2 linked regions of the Schizosaccharomyces pombe genome follow. Each later gene encodes a partner of the first gene's protein in a complex. Each region holds a gene or a part of one and is shown in the gene's direction. Other genes may lie near its edges.

What was found.
Region 2: cut14 (region 1) and cnd2 share a complex: the UniProt entries of both Schizosaccharomyces pombe proteins name them as parts of the condensin complex.

What each region holds. Positions count from the first base shown.
Region 1 is NC_003423.3:2,876,190-2,883,899, reverse strand, and holds cut14 (condensin complex SMC subunit Smc2), read left to right. Parts: upstream 1-2,531; coding exon 2,532-6,050; 3' UTR 6,051-6,213; downstream 6,214-7,710. Other genes in the region: SPOM_SPBP4H10.07 (ubiquitin-protein ligase E3), read right to left, coding at 344-2,095; S-adenosylmethionine decarboxylase proenzyme Spe2, read left to right, coding at 6,531-7,667. UniProt on the Schizosaccharomyces pombe protein: Central component of the condensin complex, a complex required for conversion of interphase chromatin into mitotic-like condense chromosomes.
Region 2 is NC_003421.2:407,802-414,504, reverse strand, and holds cnd2 (condensin complex non-SMC subunit Cnd2), read left to right. Parts: upstream 1-2,413; 5' UTR 2,414-2,437; coding exon 2,438-4,666; 3' UTR 4,667-5,151; downstream 5,152-6,703. Other genes in the region: histone H3-K4 methyltransferase Set1, read left to right, coding at 1-1,740; yip3 (Rab GTPase-binding protein), read left to right, coding at 5,682-5,747, 5,812-6,261. UniProt on the Schizosaccharomyces pombe protein: Regulatory subunit of the condensin complex, a complex required for conversion of interphase chromatin into mitotic-like condense chromosomes.

The sequences.
Region 1 (7,710 bases):
GGCCTCATTGTAGAAACCATTTTCCGAGACTGGGTGTTGAAAATAGCAAGATGATCAGTCCATCAATGGAGTCTACCTTACCATAGAAAATTCATCATATAAACAAACAAAAATAATGGAAAACAGAAAAGGAAACAAGCCCGTTTTGGCTTTATAAGCTATGCTTTAAGGATCGTCAGGTCGAGAGGAAGGGTTGTGACATGCCCTTTTAAATTCTCATAGCTAAAAGGAAACAAGGAACATTAATAAAATATATGGGTAAATACATTCAAAATCGTTTTGGTGGAAGGAATCCGAAAAGTTTTTAAAGCAACAAAATTGTCATGATGATTGATCATGTTGATTATGGCTTGGGAGAGGACGGAGTAGATGCTGAAGCAACACCTTTAGTACGACACAGGGGGCATGAATTTTGGCTTGAAGTTAACCACTGATCTATGCATTCACGATGAAAAAAATGATTGCATTGTTTAAGACGGCGACACTCATCGTTCAACTCAAAATTTGATAGACAAACAAGGCATCTTTCATCGGTTCCCGAAAAAGGGAATACACCACCTGCCTTTTCAAGGTCTTTTTGTGAAGCCACTGGCGGCTTTTCAATACCGATAATAGAATTCAATAAAAGCATGTCCTCGTACGTTGGTGAATCAGTAAACAGTGAAGGTGCTCTCAAAACAGGATGATTTTGAGGTACAAAAGCTTCTCGAACGTATATGGCCCAGCTTCTGGGCAATTGGTGGTCCGTTTGCGAATTATTATTTCTAGTTTCAGGTGCTTGTTGAGTGGAGGATCCATTATTATCGGAAATCCCATTTACGTCTGTAGCAGTAGAAGCTTGCTCGTCTTCGGAAATATGTTCTGCCTCATTAACATTTTCATTTGGCCCCGTATTATCACTAACGGACGTTGTCTGATTTTGCGAGTTAACAAGTGAAGATATCAAATCAGAAGGATGCATTAAAGTTGGGGAATCGGCACTTGGTTGATCATCTTCATCACTTCCTGAATTTCTTAGACTTCGGATGCCAACTATTATAATCGGGATTACTTCTTGACCTTCATGATTTCGGTGTAAATTGTCAAATCTAAAAGTTCGAAAAAGGTTTATAGGACCAGATTCTTCTTCAAGATCCACAGCATTTGCAATTAGTTCTGCAGTCCTAGGATTAGTTTCTGCGTTCATCGCCTGCACCAGATTACCAGCGTGCAAAAGCGATAAAAATTCATCGAAAGCAACATTTCCAGATTCCACATTTCCAGAAATTGAAGAAGGAAATTCTAAATTGTTTGATTGATGTGCACTCGAAGAATTCATCAGTACACTAACCCAACCAGACGCTACTGAAAACACAAATCGAGAAAGCATGACTAGTTGACTTTCTTCTGGAGAAACAGATGCTTGTTGAGTATTTTCACTATTATTAATATAGTTCATTACCGCACGAGTATAGTCCTCCATATTTGAGTCCGCTAGAGAAGTGACAGATCTTACCGGCAATCTTCCAATTGCAGTTCCCGGAGATTCTAAATTATTTACAGAGCCATGATCCTGCATTTCCTGTCCACCGCTCGAACTGACGTTTTCATCTTCATGATTCGATGCCAACGTAGACTGATTGTTTTGGGTATTTAAATTGCGTAAAGCAGCAATACTAGAACGAAATCTTCTAGCAGCACGTTCAAATTCCTGTTGGTGATTTTCAAGGATTAACCTGTCTGTTTGAGGTATTGCAGATGTTTGTGATTCGCCTTCTATACGAGAGCGAGGAGTAGCTGGTGTAGCTGGTGGACTTAACGACCTTAGAGAAGGAGAATTCCTATTCAAAAGCGAACCACGGTAGCGAGAACGAAAAGCCGATCTTTCAGTAGTTCTATCACGATTACCATTTTCCGAATTGCCTTCATCGTTACGATGCCGCTTTGCTCTTCGAAGACCTAAGACTCGCTGCAAAGAGGGAAAACGATTCCACAGCCTACTAAAGCCAGAATTTTGTCGATCTGAATCATTAATGTTTTCACTTTCTGATGAAACCGCCTGCATACTTGCGTCCCTTTGAATTTGCCGACTGGGAATGGATTCACCTTGCCCCATTTGTGTAGTGAGTGCAGTACTGATTATCAAATATAGTTAAATAACAGAAAAGATAAAATATATGTTTTAAATTAAAAAGAATTTAAACAAGTTACTTGAAAGTATTAAAATACATAAACTAATAAATCTAAAATGTTAATAGCGGTAAGCTTTTTGCATACTAAGCATCATTACGTAGTTTAACGTTGCGGTAAATGTTATTAGAGTAGTCGCACTCTTTTATATCTACTATGAAGTCTTATTTCACCTTTAATGCTTTAAACGACAAACAGCTTTAATCATTTTTACACTAAACAGCAAACAGTTCGGACTGAAATGTACTGCTGAAGATTTATCTCCCTCTAGGAAATACTTTACAAGTCAATCAGTTTTTTGAATTCTAGTCTTAAATACTTGGGCTTCAGTAAACAAACAGAACGAGAAATTTACTGAAGAAATGAAAATAGAGGAACTCATCATTGATGGTTTCAAATCATATGCTGTGCGAACTGTCATTAGCAATTGGGATGACCAATTTAATGCTATAACGGGCCTCAATGGGTCTGGAAAAAGTAATATATTAGATGCAATATGCTTTGTCTTGGGAATTACGAATATGTCGACTGTCCGTGCCCAGAATTTACAGGACTTAATTTACAAACGCGGACAGGCAGGAATAACCAGAGCTAGCGTTACCATTGTGTTTAATAATCGGGATCCTGCGTCTTCACCAATTGGTTTCGAGAATCACCCGCAAGTAAGCGTTACAAGACAAATTATCATGGGCGGTACAAGCAAATATTTGATTAATGGACATAGAGCTCTGCAACAGAATGTTCAAAATTTGTTCCAGTCTGTTCAGTTAAATATTAATAATCCTAATTTTTTAATTATGCAAGGTCGAATCACCAAGGTTCTTAATATGAAGGCTACTGAAATTTTATCAATGATTGAAGAAGCCTCTGGTACTCGAATGTTTGAAGAAAGGAAAGAAAAGGCTTTTCGAACAATGCAACGAAAAGAAGCAAAGGTTGAGGAGATTAATACACTGTTAAGAGAGGAAATCGAACCCCGACTTACCAAACTTCGTACAGAAAAAAAAACTTTTCTAGAATATCAACATATTTATAATGACTTGGAACGATTAAGCCATCTTTGTACTGCTTACGACTATTATAAGTTGTCACTTAAAGTGGAGGAATTAACGGTTCAAGCATCCCAGAAGCACAGCCATATCGCCGAGATGGAATCTTCATTACAAACATCGAAACAGGAGGTTTTAATACTAAAGGAAAAGATTAAAAAAATTGAAGATGAGCGAATGAGACAAATGAGTGTTTCTTCGGATCGTACCTTGGACTCTCAGTTACAAACTGTTAATGAAAACATCACCAGAATAAGCACGTCGATAGAATTAAAGAATACAGCTTTAGAGGAAGAGCATGGGGACCTTCAACAAATTCGTGGAAAAGCTAAGGAATTAGAAACTTTGTTGCGCGGAAAAAGGAAACGACTAGATGAAGTGCTTAGTGTATACGAAAAAAGGAAAGATGAACATCAAAGTATTTCAAAGGATTTCAAGTCTCAAGAAGAGCTAATTTCATCACTTACAACTGGTCTTTCCACTACAGAAGGTCATGAAACTGGCTATTCTAGAAAACTACACGAAGCTCGAGATACGTTGAATGACTTTAAAGCTGAAAAAGAAACCAATCGATTAAAGCTTGAAGGACTCAATAAACAAATATCTTTAACTAAACCTAAGAAGGCTGAGGCTACAAAACGATGTGATCAACTCAATCGCGAAATCGATATATTACAAAACCATGTTGAGAAGCTTAAAATGTCTTTAAAAAATACAAATTCCGACATTACAGGTGAAGATGTACTCCAGCAAAAGTTGAAGCAACTTGCTAAAGATCGCGGCAATTTGTTAAATGAACTTGATGCTTTAAAAAGCAAACTTGCTTATATGGAATTTACTTATACCGACCCTACTCCTAATTTTGATCGCTCAAAGGTGAAAGGATTGGTGGCTCAATTGCTAACCTTGAATGAAGAGAATTATGACAAGCAAACTGCATTAGAAATTACAGCTGGTGGCCGCCTTTATAATCTCATTGTTGAAACCGAGAAAATTGGTGCACAATTGCTTCAAAAAGGAAACCTGAAGAGGAGAGTTACTATTATTCCCCTCAACAAAATTACCAGCTTCGTAGCTTCAGCAGAGAGAGTAGGCGCAGCCAAAAAAATTTCTAATAATAAAGCCCAACTTGCTTTGGAATTAATCGGTTATGACGATGAGCTTTTGCCTGCAATGCAGTATGTTTTTGGCTCCACATTAGTCTGTGATACCCCTGAATCGGCAAAGAAAGTTACCTTTCATCCTTCAGTTAAATTAAAAAGTGTCACGCTTGATGGTGATGTTTATGACCCATCTGGTACCCTTACTGGTGGGTCTGTGAATAAATCTGCCGGTCCTTTACTACAGATACAAAAGCTGAACAGTCTGCAGCTAAAATTGCAAGTAGTTACTTCAGAATATGAAAAGTTGGAGACTCAACTTAAAGACTTAAAGACTCAAAATGCCAATTTTCATCGACTTGAGCAAGAAATTCAACTAAAGCAACATGAATTAACACTTTTGATAGAGCAAAGAGAGACCGACTCATCTTTTCGTCTTTTATCTGATTATCAGCAGTACAAAGACGACGTTAAAGATCTCAAGCAAAGGCTTCCTGAATTAGACAGACTTATATTGCAAAGTGACCAAGCTATAAAAAAAATTGAACGAGACATGCAAGAATGGAAACATAACAAGGGATCAAAAATGGCTGAATTGGAAAAGGAGTTTAATCAATACAAGCACAAGTTAGACGAGTTTACTCCTATATTGGAAAAGTCCGAGAATGACTATAATGGCGTTAAACTCGAATGTGAACAATTAGAAGGCGAATTGCAAAACCATCAGCAATCTCTCGTACAAGGTGAATCGACCACGAGTTTAATAAAGACGGAAATTGCAGAACTTGAGCTGTCACTTGTTAATGAGGAGCATAATCGAAAGAAACTCACCGAACTAATAGAAATTGAAAGCGCCAAGTTTTCTGGACTTAACAAAGAGATAGATTCACTCAGTACCTCAATGAAAACATTCGAATCTGAAATAAACAATGGGGAGCTAACAATTCAAAAGCTGAACCACGAGTTTGACCGATTAGAGCGAGAAAAATCAGTTGCTATAACTGCTATTAATCATTTGGAAAAGGAAAATGATTGGATAGATGGACAGAAACAGCACTTTGGTAAGCAAGGAACCATTTTCGATTTTCACTCTCAAAACATGCGTCAGTGTAGAGAGCAGTTACATAATTTGAAACCGCGATTTGCTAGTATGCGTAAAGCTATTAATCCCAAGGTTATGGACATGATTGACGGTGTAGAAAAGAAAGAAGCCAAATTGCGCTCTATGATAAAGACCATTCATCGCGATAAGAAAAAGATCCAAGATACTGTCAAAAGTATTGATCGGTTTAAAAGGAGTGCCTTAGAAAAAACCTGGAGAGAAGTCAATTCTTCTTTCGGTGAAATTTTTGACGAACTACTTCCTGGTAATAGTGCAGAACTACAGCCACCAGAGAATAAAGAATTCACTGATGGATTGGAAATTCATGTAAAAATTGGGTCAATTTGGAAAGATAGTCTGGCAGAACTTAGTGGTGGACAAAGGTCTCTAGTTGCATTGGCTCTTATTATGTCTCTACTTAAATATAAGCCTGCTCCAATGTACATTTTAGATGAAATTGACGCGGCGCTCGATTTAAGTCATACCCAAAACATTGGAAGACTTATTAAAACAAAGTTTAAAGGTTCTCAGTTTATTATTGTTAGCCTTAAAGAAGGAATGTTTACCAATGCTAATCGACTATTTCATGTACGATTTATGGACGGATCATCTGTGGTACAAGCTCGCTAATTTGAACGTAAACACTTGAATTATACGCGCATGTATAGTCCTACTATTTACTATCACCGATGTCTTAATTTATTTAAAGAATATTTCTACCAATCATTAAAAACAAGACTTTTGGTTCTTTAAAGTTGTTTGTGCCGCTAATGAAACTTAGACTACGGTATGTATCATATGTATAAAATATCGTAAACTCATCATTTCCAAATTTATTATTAGCGTCGATGTCATTTGTAGCATATTCAAAAATATTTAGGGTAGGGTTTTAAAATTTTGATCGATACAGGATGTTTCTGTGGTTATGTATTTAGCCTCAACATCATATAAAATTGGTGCGACAGCCGCAATTAAGTTATTATTTGTATGCTTTTTTGCTAATAAATATCCTAAAAGTGTAACTGGAGCAACTAGCTAGTACGTGTTTTGGGAATTACACTCACAGCGCACATATAGCATTGGAAGTTCTTTGTATGACTATATTCTAAAATGTCTCCTACCCTTGTTGTTGATCAAGAGAATTCGGAAGAATTTAACACCTCCTCATTTGAAGGTCCTGAAAAATTGCTGGAACTATGGTTTTCGGCTCCTATAAAAACCAATTTAAGTGCGGGTGAAAAGGCTAACTTGGGACTAAAAGCTGTTTCTCGCAATGATTGGGATGATATGCTAGCCCAAGCCCAATGTAAAGTCCTCAGCGTTGTTAATAGTGAAGAAATAGATGCATATTTACTTTCTGAATCCTCTATGTTTGTGTTTGCCCATAAAATTATCCTTAAAACATGCGGAACCACTACACTACTGGCTAGTTTGCCTCGCCTATTAGAAATTGCTTCTAGTGTTGGCTTTGATCGTCCTCTTCGTATTTTTTACTCAAGAAAAAACTTTTTATATCCCGAACGCCAGCTTGCACCACATACGAGTTGGGAGGAAGAAGTTCGTTACTTACAACTGTTTTTTCCAAGTGGATGCTCTTATGTAGTGGGTCCGACAAACAAGAATCACTGGCATCTGTTTTCTGATCTGGCTGATGATTATTCTTTACTGGAAGATTCCCTTGATCCTGAAGATGAGACCCTAGAGGTACTCATGACTGATATGTCTCCCGAACGCTCGCTTCAGTTTTACGCTCCATCCTTGGATGTTGTTCGGAGCGCTAGAGGTGATGACTATGTTCGAGAAAAAAACAATCTCTCGGGGGGTCACATCCTTGGCAGTTATGTAGCTGATGAATCGGGTGTTAGAGACTTATGTAGTACCTCTGATAAAAAAGCAGTGCTTGATGCTTTTCAATTTGAGCCAATTGGGTTCTCGTCGAATATGATTTACAAGGACCGCTATGCCACAATCCATGTTACGCCTCAAGAACATTGTTCTTATGCTTCATTTGAAACAAATGTTTCGCAATTCCAATTCGGAAGATCCATATCTGAAACAATCGAAAAAACTGTTAAAACTTTTGGTGCAAACAAATTTTGTCTTACCCTTTTCCAGGCTAAAGGTGCGTCTCAAGAGAAGCATTTCTCGGCCAAACTTAAATCTTTTAGCTCTTATAAGCGTGAAGAATTTATAGTGTATGACTTTCCTGGATATGATCTTATATTTGCCAGCTTTACTGCAGTATAAGTTCGGAGAACAGTCAGCTAGATATTTTAAATTATCTGTTGCT
Region 2 (6,703 bases), on another chromosome or scaffold:
TTGAAATTTCATGACATTCCTTCACGTACAAAGGAAGATGGAAAAAAGAGCGCAGTACGAAGAGTTGTTTTACCTCCCGAGGAAGCGTACGCTGAAGCAACCTCAGTTGTGCTTAGAGATCTTGAGGCTGCTTTGTTACGTGATGTAAAAAGTAAAATAATTGGACCGGCAATCTTCAAATATCTTCATTCAATGCCTAAGCCTTCTGTTAAGGAAGAACTACAAGAAAATTTATTGGTTTCATCTACAAGTGTTCCTGATGTTCCTTTAAAAATTGAATCAACAGTCGGAAAGCTCCCCAGTCTTCCCAAATTTAAAAAACGAGTTGATTCCAGTAAAATGAATCTTTCAGCGGGTAGTAAAACGAAGTCGAAACTTCAAAGAAGACGTAGAAGAAGGCACGAAGCTCGACCTTTACACTACCAGCTTAATCAAATGTATAACTCAAGCGCTTCTGAAGCCGAGTCTGATCAAGAACTTTTGTTATCTTCTGGAGACGAGCGTGTAGAAAGAGGGAAGATTGGCTCAATAAAGTCTGTGAAGTCTGACGAGGCGACTCCAGTTTTTTCTGATACATCTGATGAAAATGACAAATTCCATCGTTTTCGTACAAAATCTAAAATATCAAAGAAAAAATATGAAAAGATGGAAGTTGACTATACTTCGTCCAGCGAAACCGAATCAGATGCATCAATACTTTCTCCTAGTGCTGCGATTCCAAAATCAGGTAGCGCCATAAAAGATGAACTCATATCGCCTAAGAAAGAGATTGATGAAGTTTTAGCTTTAGCTCCCAAATGGCGTATTAATGAGTTTGATGAAACTGGAAGCGTTTATTATGGTGCACTTCCTTACAATTATCCAGAAGACGATGTACTTCTTGACTTGGATGGTCTACAGTACTTGGTAAAAAATGACGAAGATTACTCATATCTTCAAGAGGCACTCAAGGATGAACCCCTCATGGATATCAACGATCCCAATTTCTGGGCTTATGAACGCAAGTCATGTAAATTTAAGAATGGGGATGTTAAGTATGGAGATACGGCTATTCTTCCAGAACCTAAAGGTTATTTTCGCTCTAATACTAGCGGTTCTGCTAAAAGTGAGGGATACTATATTATTCCAACTACCGAAAAATCACTATATCTACCACTTCGTAATCGATCAACCATCGATACTATTAGTCATTCTACAAGCCGTATCACATCACGAATGAATCGTGTTAACAATAGAAGATTGGCTGCTGGAGTTGAAAAGTCTCAATTGCCAGCCGAAGCTGACTTGCTCAGATTCAATGCACTAAAGGCTCGTAAAAAGCAATTACATTTTGGCCCTAGTCGCATTCATACATTAGGGCTTTTTGCCATGGAAAACATTGATAAAAATGATATGGTCATAGAGTATATTGGAGAAATCATTCGACAACGGGTGGCTGATAATCGTGAAAAGAACTACGTTCGTGAAGGTATTGGAGACAGTTATTTGTTCCGTATTGACGAGGATGTTATCGTTGATGCTACAAAAAAGGGAAATATCGCGCGTTTCATCAATCATTCATGCGCTCCTAATTGTATAGCTAGGATTATTAGAGTTGAAGGGAAAAGAAAAATCGTAATTTATGCTGACAGGGATATTATGCATGGAGAGGAACTTACTTATGATTACAAGTTTCCGGAAGAAGCTGATAAGATTCCTTGTTTGTGTGGTGCTCCAACATGTCGTGGCTATTTAAACTAGACAATGATGCTCTTGGAGAATTGATGGTACATGAATATATGGGCAGCTGTACAATTATAATAGTTCGTTTAAAAAGCACGCATTATATCTGATGGTACACTAATGCTTTTTATTTTTTAATATAGAATAGAATCAATTTTCTGTCTTACATCGTCTGCATTTGATATTGGTTGAATATTTTGAGAGTCAGGATAAATGCGCATACCATTCAGTGGATTGCATTCAGGAGTGATTTAGAAGTAAAATGTTAAGAGATATACTGTCTTAGATATATCCATTTGCTCCACAATACTACGAAGTTCAAGTTTAAATAAACGAAAACGAAAAATAAAATTCTCTTAAAACTTGATAGCTACTGAATTTTAGGATCCAAACTTGATTTGGTATTACCTTGTTAATTTTATATGGAAGATTTATAATAATTGAAACTTCACAAAATTTGTAACAGAATAATAAACAAAAGACTTTTGACTTTGTAATCGGGAAGCCATCAATGAAGTAAATTGGGAAATACTATATTATTTGAAAACAAATTTCAAAAGAAAAATAATGTTATCATATTGGCATTTATTTAGAAACTTATTTGAATCTTTATCATTTGTTGATTAGAAAGAAATATACGGCATATCGTTAAAGCGCGATATACGTATAGGCACACCGACTTACCACTTGTGAACATAAACATTTACTTAAATCAATGAAAAGAGCTAGTTTAGGCGGGCATGCGCCCGTTAGCTTACCCTCCTTAAATGACGATGCATTAGAAAAAAAAAGAGCTAAAGAGAACAGCCGTAAGCAGCGCGAGTTGCGAAGAAGTTCAGCTCTGCACTCAATAACGCCAAGAAGAGAATCTCTAAACAATTCTTCACCATTTAATAGCTCTCATCAGGTTCCTGTTCTTTCTAATTTTGAGGAATGGATTAAATTAGCTACTGACAACAAAATTAATTCCACAAATACCTGGAATTTTGCGCTTATTGACTATTTTCACGACATGTCGCTTCTACGTGATGGTGAAGATATAAATTTCCAAAAGGCAAGCTGTACATTAGACGGATGCGTGAAAATTTATACTTCGCGTATTGATTCTGTTGCTACTGAGACCGGCAAGCTACTCAGTGGATTGGCAAACGATTCCAAAGTATTGCAGCAAACGGAAGAAGGCGAAGATGCTGAAAATGATGATGAGGATCTACAGAAAAAGAAAGAGAGAAAGCGTGCACAACGTTCGGTAAAGACTCTCGTTAAAGATTTCGAGTCAATACGCGCTAAAAAATTTGAGTTAGAATGTTCTTTTGATCCTTTATTCAAGAAAATGTGTGCAGATTTTGATGAGGATGGTGCTAAAGGCTTATTAATGAATCATCTTTGTGTTGATCAACATGGACGAATTGTATTCGATTCTAGCGATACTGTCATCAAGGATTTGGAAAATAAAGATGTTGAAGCTGAATCGCAGGAAGCGGTAGTCGCAGCGCCTATCGAAAGCCATGACACAGAAATGACTAATGTGCATGACAATATTTCTAGGGAGACCTTGAATGGTATTTACAAATGCTATTTTACCGATATTGATCAGTTGACAATATGTCCCTCCTTACAGGGCTTTGAATTTGATAGTAAAGGGAATCTTGATGTCTCTCTCTTAAAATCATTAAGTGATGAAGTTAACATGATAACGACAACCTCCTTAGTGGATAATACGATGGAGAAAACTGATGCTGATGCAGCTTCCCTTTCTTCCGATTCCGATGGTGAAGAAGGACATATTGTGCATGCTTTGGAGGAAATGGCTTACGATGAGGAGAACCCATATGTTGATGTAGTACCAAAAGCAATGGACGAATCCGAAAATCCAGATTTTGGTGTGGATACTGAAGTCAATATGGCTGATGGAAGTACTATGAATGAAAATTATTCTATTATTTCTACTGCCGCTGCGAATGGAGTATACGAATATTTTGACAAGTCAATGAAAAAGAACTGGGCTGGACCCGAACATTGGCGCATTCAGGCATTGAGAAAAAATATCAATAACGCATCAACTGTATTCAACTCTTCCAATACGGCTGAAAGTTCAGATAATGTATCGCGTTCTCTTTCTTCCACGGAACGGAAAAAGCGTCGAGAACTTGATAACGCCATTGATTTCTTGCAGGAAGTAGACGTCGAAGCACTGTTCACTCCTGCAACCAGCAGTCTCAAGCTTCCCAAGTCTCATTGGAAAAGACATAATCGATGTTTACTACCTGATGACTACCAATATGATTCTAAGAGGCTTTTACAGCTTTTCTTGAAACCAAAGATGTCAGTTCTACCCAACGCTGATGGAGAAGGACAGCTACAACTGAATAAAGCCTTAGATGATGAGAATGATTTGGACGGTATTCAACCCCATGGATTCGATTCTGATGGCAGTGATAATGTTGATGAAGGAATACCCCCGTATGGATTTGGAGATTCCGATAGCCCTAAGCAAACACCTCTGCTTACACCTCCATCATCATCAGGATTTGGTGATAACCTTTTGTTAACTGCTCGTTTGGCAAAACCAGATATGCTGAATTATGCGAAGCGTGCTAAAAAGGTTGATGTGCGAGTACTGAAAGAAAAGCTATGGAAATGTCTAGATCTTGAAAACACAATTAAAGAAAATTCCATCAACTCTCATATTGAGGGTTCGGAGATGGAGTCAGAAGAAACCAACATGCCAGTCAAATCTTTTTTTTCCACTGTCAATCAATTAGAGGAGACATACGAGAAAAAAGAACTCAAAGATATATCCACCAGTTTTGCCTTTATTTGTGTTTTACATTTGGCGAATGAACATAATTTAGAGCTTACAAGCAACGAAGATTTTTCAGATGTTTTTATTAGGCCAGGTCCTAACTTGACGACGCTAGAAGCATTAGAAAATGATGTTTAAAGTGTGTAGAATCGAAATGATGCAGGTCATCATTAATTAGTCATCATCGCATACTTTTAGCTAGCGTGAATCATTTTCAAGATAGCCGGAAATTATACTCTTTTTGATCTACCTTGAATAATAAAAACACTAGCTCGTATTTTTAGGCTGTTACTACTTTTTGACATTGAAGAGTTGTGAAAAATGAAGAGTGCAAATTGCATTTTGTGGAGCAAGCTGACAGCGAAATTTTTTGTAAAAAATACACCTTCCTTTTATCTTGTGATCGTTGAAGACATCAGTATCTTGCTTCTGCCTGTTAATTCTGTTGGAACTCACTTAGCAGTTGACTCTTTGGAAATAACGAGATATTGCATTCATTACATGCTTCTATTCTCGACAATATAACAAAAAATAATAATTATTTATTGTCTCTATGTGAGGTTTTTTACCTATAATAGGATTAAATTGTACCAATATACGGTTATTCATATATTGTGAAACCCTTTCAAAGTTAGAACATATCGATTTGAGTACAGAAATGTAGGGTAATTTTATCTTTTATGTTAATCTTTCTCAAGAATCTATTTTTTTTTGATACAAATTATTAAATGAATTATCAGAGAAAATGAAATTTGTCAATGACCAAGCTGTAGAATAATTTCAACACCGTCAACGAATGGACTTTGGCTCAGTAAAATAAAGTTAAAATACATCCTTTTAGTTAAAGAAATAGGTTTATAAGCAATCTATGAACTTTCGCAGCAACGTTAGTTCATCTAGTTTTACCATAGATTTGAAATAGCGTTTAAAGCAAAATTACGCTATATACGATAGTGATTCATAATTTAAATAAAATGAGTTATGCAATACAATTATTACAATTTTTTCTGTTGCACAATATCTATTTAGCGTTGCTTTCTCAATGTACTTTACAGTGGGTAACAATCAATGGCTTAGAATACTTTGTCAACATCCAGGAAAAGTAGAATTTATCCTTTCCCTATATCTAAGACACCTACTACGGTTTTTCATAATGTCAGCACTGTCGTTGAGTATTACTAAAGTTTCGGAGACTTTCTCAGAAATTTACGCTTCAAGGGTATGAATTAATGAACTATGAGTAGTAAACTTGAAAAGATCAATTCACTAACGCAAAATGGTAGGCTCAGTATCTAAGTGGTTTTAAATCGGTGGGCGAGTTCTTGGATGTTCGTAGAATTTCTAGACCTAGGAATTTCAGTGAAGCTCAGTCGAGAATTAGCTTCAACTTTTCGAGGTTTTCTTCTAACTATCTTGCAATCATTGCTATGCTCGTTATTTACGCACTTATCCGTAACCCTTTACTTTTAATTGTCATTGGAATTGGTGTTGGTGGTGTTTATGGTATTCGTAAGCTTCAAGGAGCTGATTTACAACTTAGCCATCGTGTAATTTCCAACCAAAATCTTTATGTCATTCTAGCATGCGTGTTGATTCCTCTTGGGCTGTTCGCATCTCCCATCGAAACTATCATTTGGTTAGTTGGTGCTTCCTGTGTCTGTGTATTCGGACACGCTGCTTTCTTTGAGCCTCCTGTTGAATCGGCATTTGAGACTGTCGAGCAACAAGTCTAAAAAAATTGTTTCTAACAGCCTCTTTGGTTATCTTGGTACAGTTGCTTTAATTTTCGTACATGTCTTTACAAAGGGAATACTGGCATTTCCTACGCTTACTCTTCTTTGACAAACAAAAAGAGGGAAACTGTACGCCGATTTTAAAGAAACTAGCTTGCTAATCATTTTATTATCAGTTATTTGCGTTTCATACTTTTTTCCTTTTAATACGTTAATACTTCATTTGTAATTTTTTAGATTATTCATTTCTGCGCTCTTTGTTTTACGCCTTTTCGTCGTCTTTTTCAATGACTCTATCTGGCTATCTTTATCTTGCCTTTACTTTCTTGAAATTATGGGATAAAATGACTTCTAAACTGCGCATTCAGCTTCATCTAGTACTATAATAACTAGTTTGGCTGCTTATATGAAGCCAGCTATGATTTTCACCTCTCTTATTCTT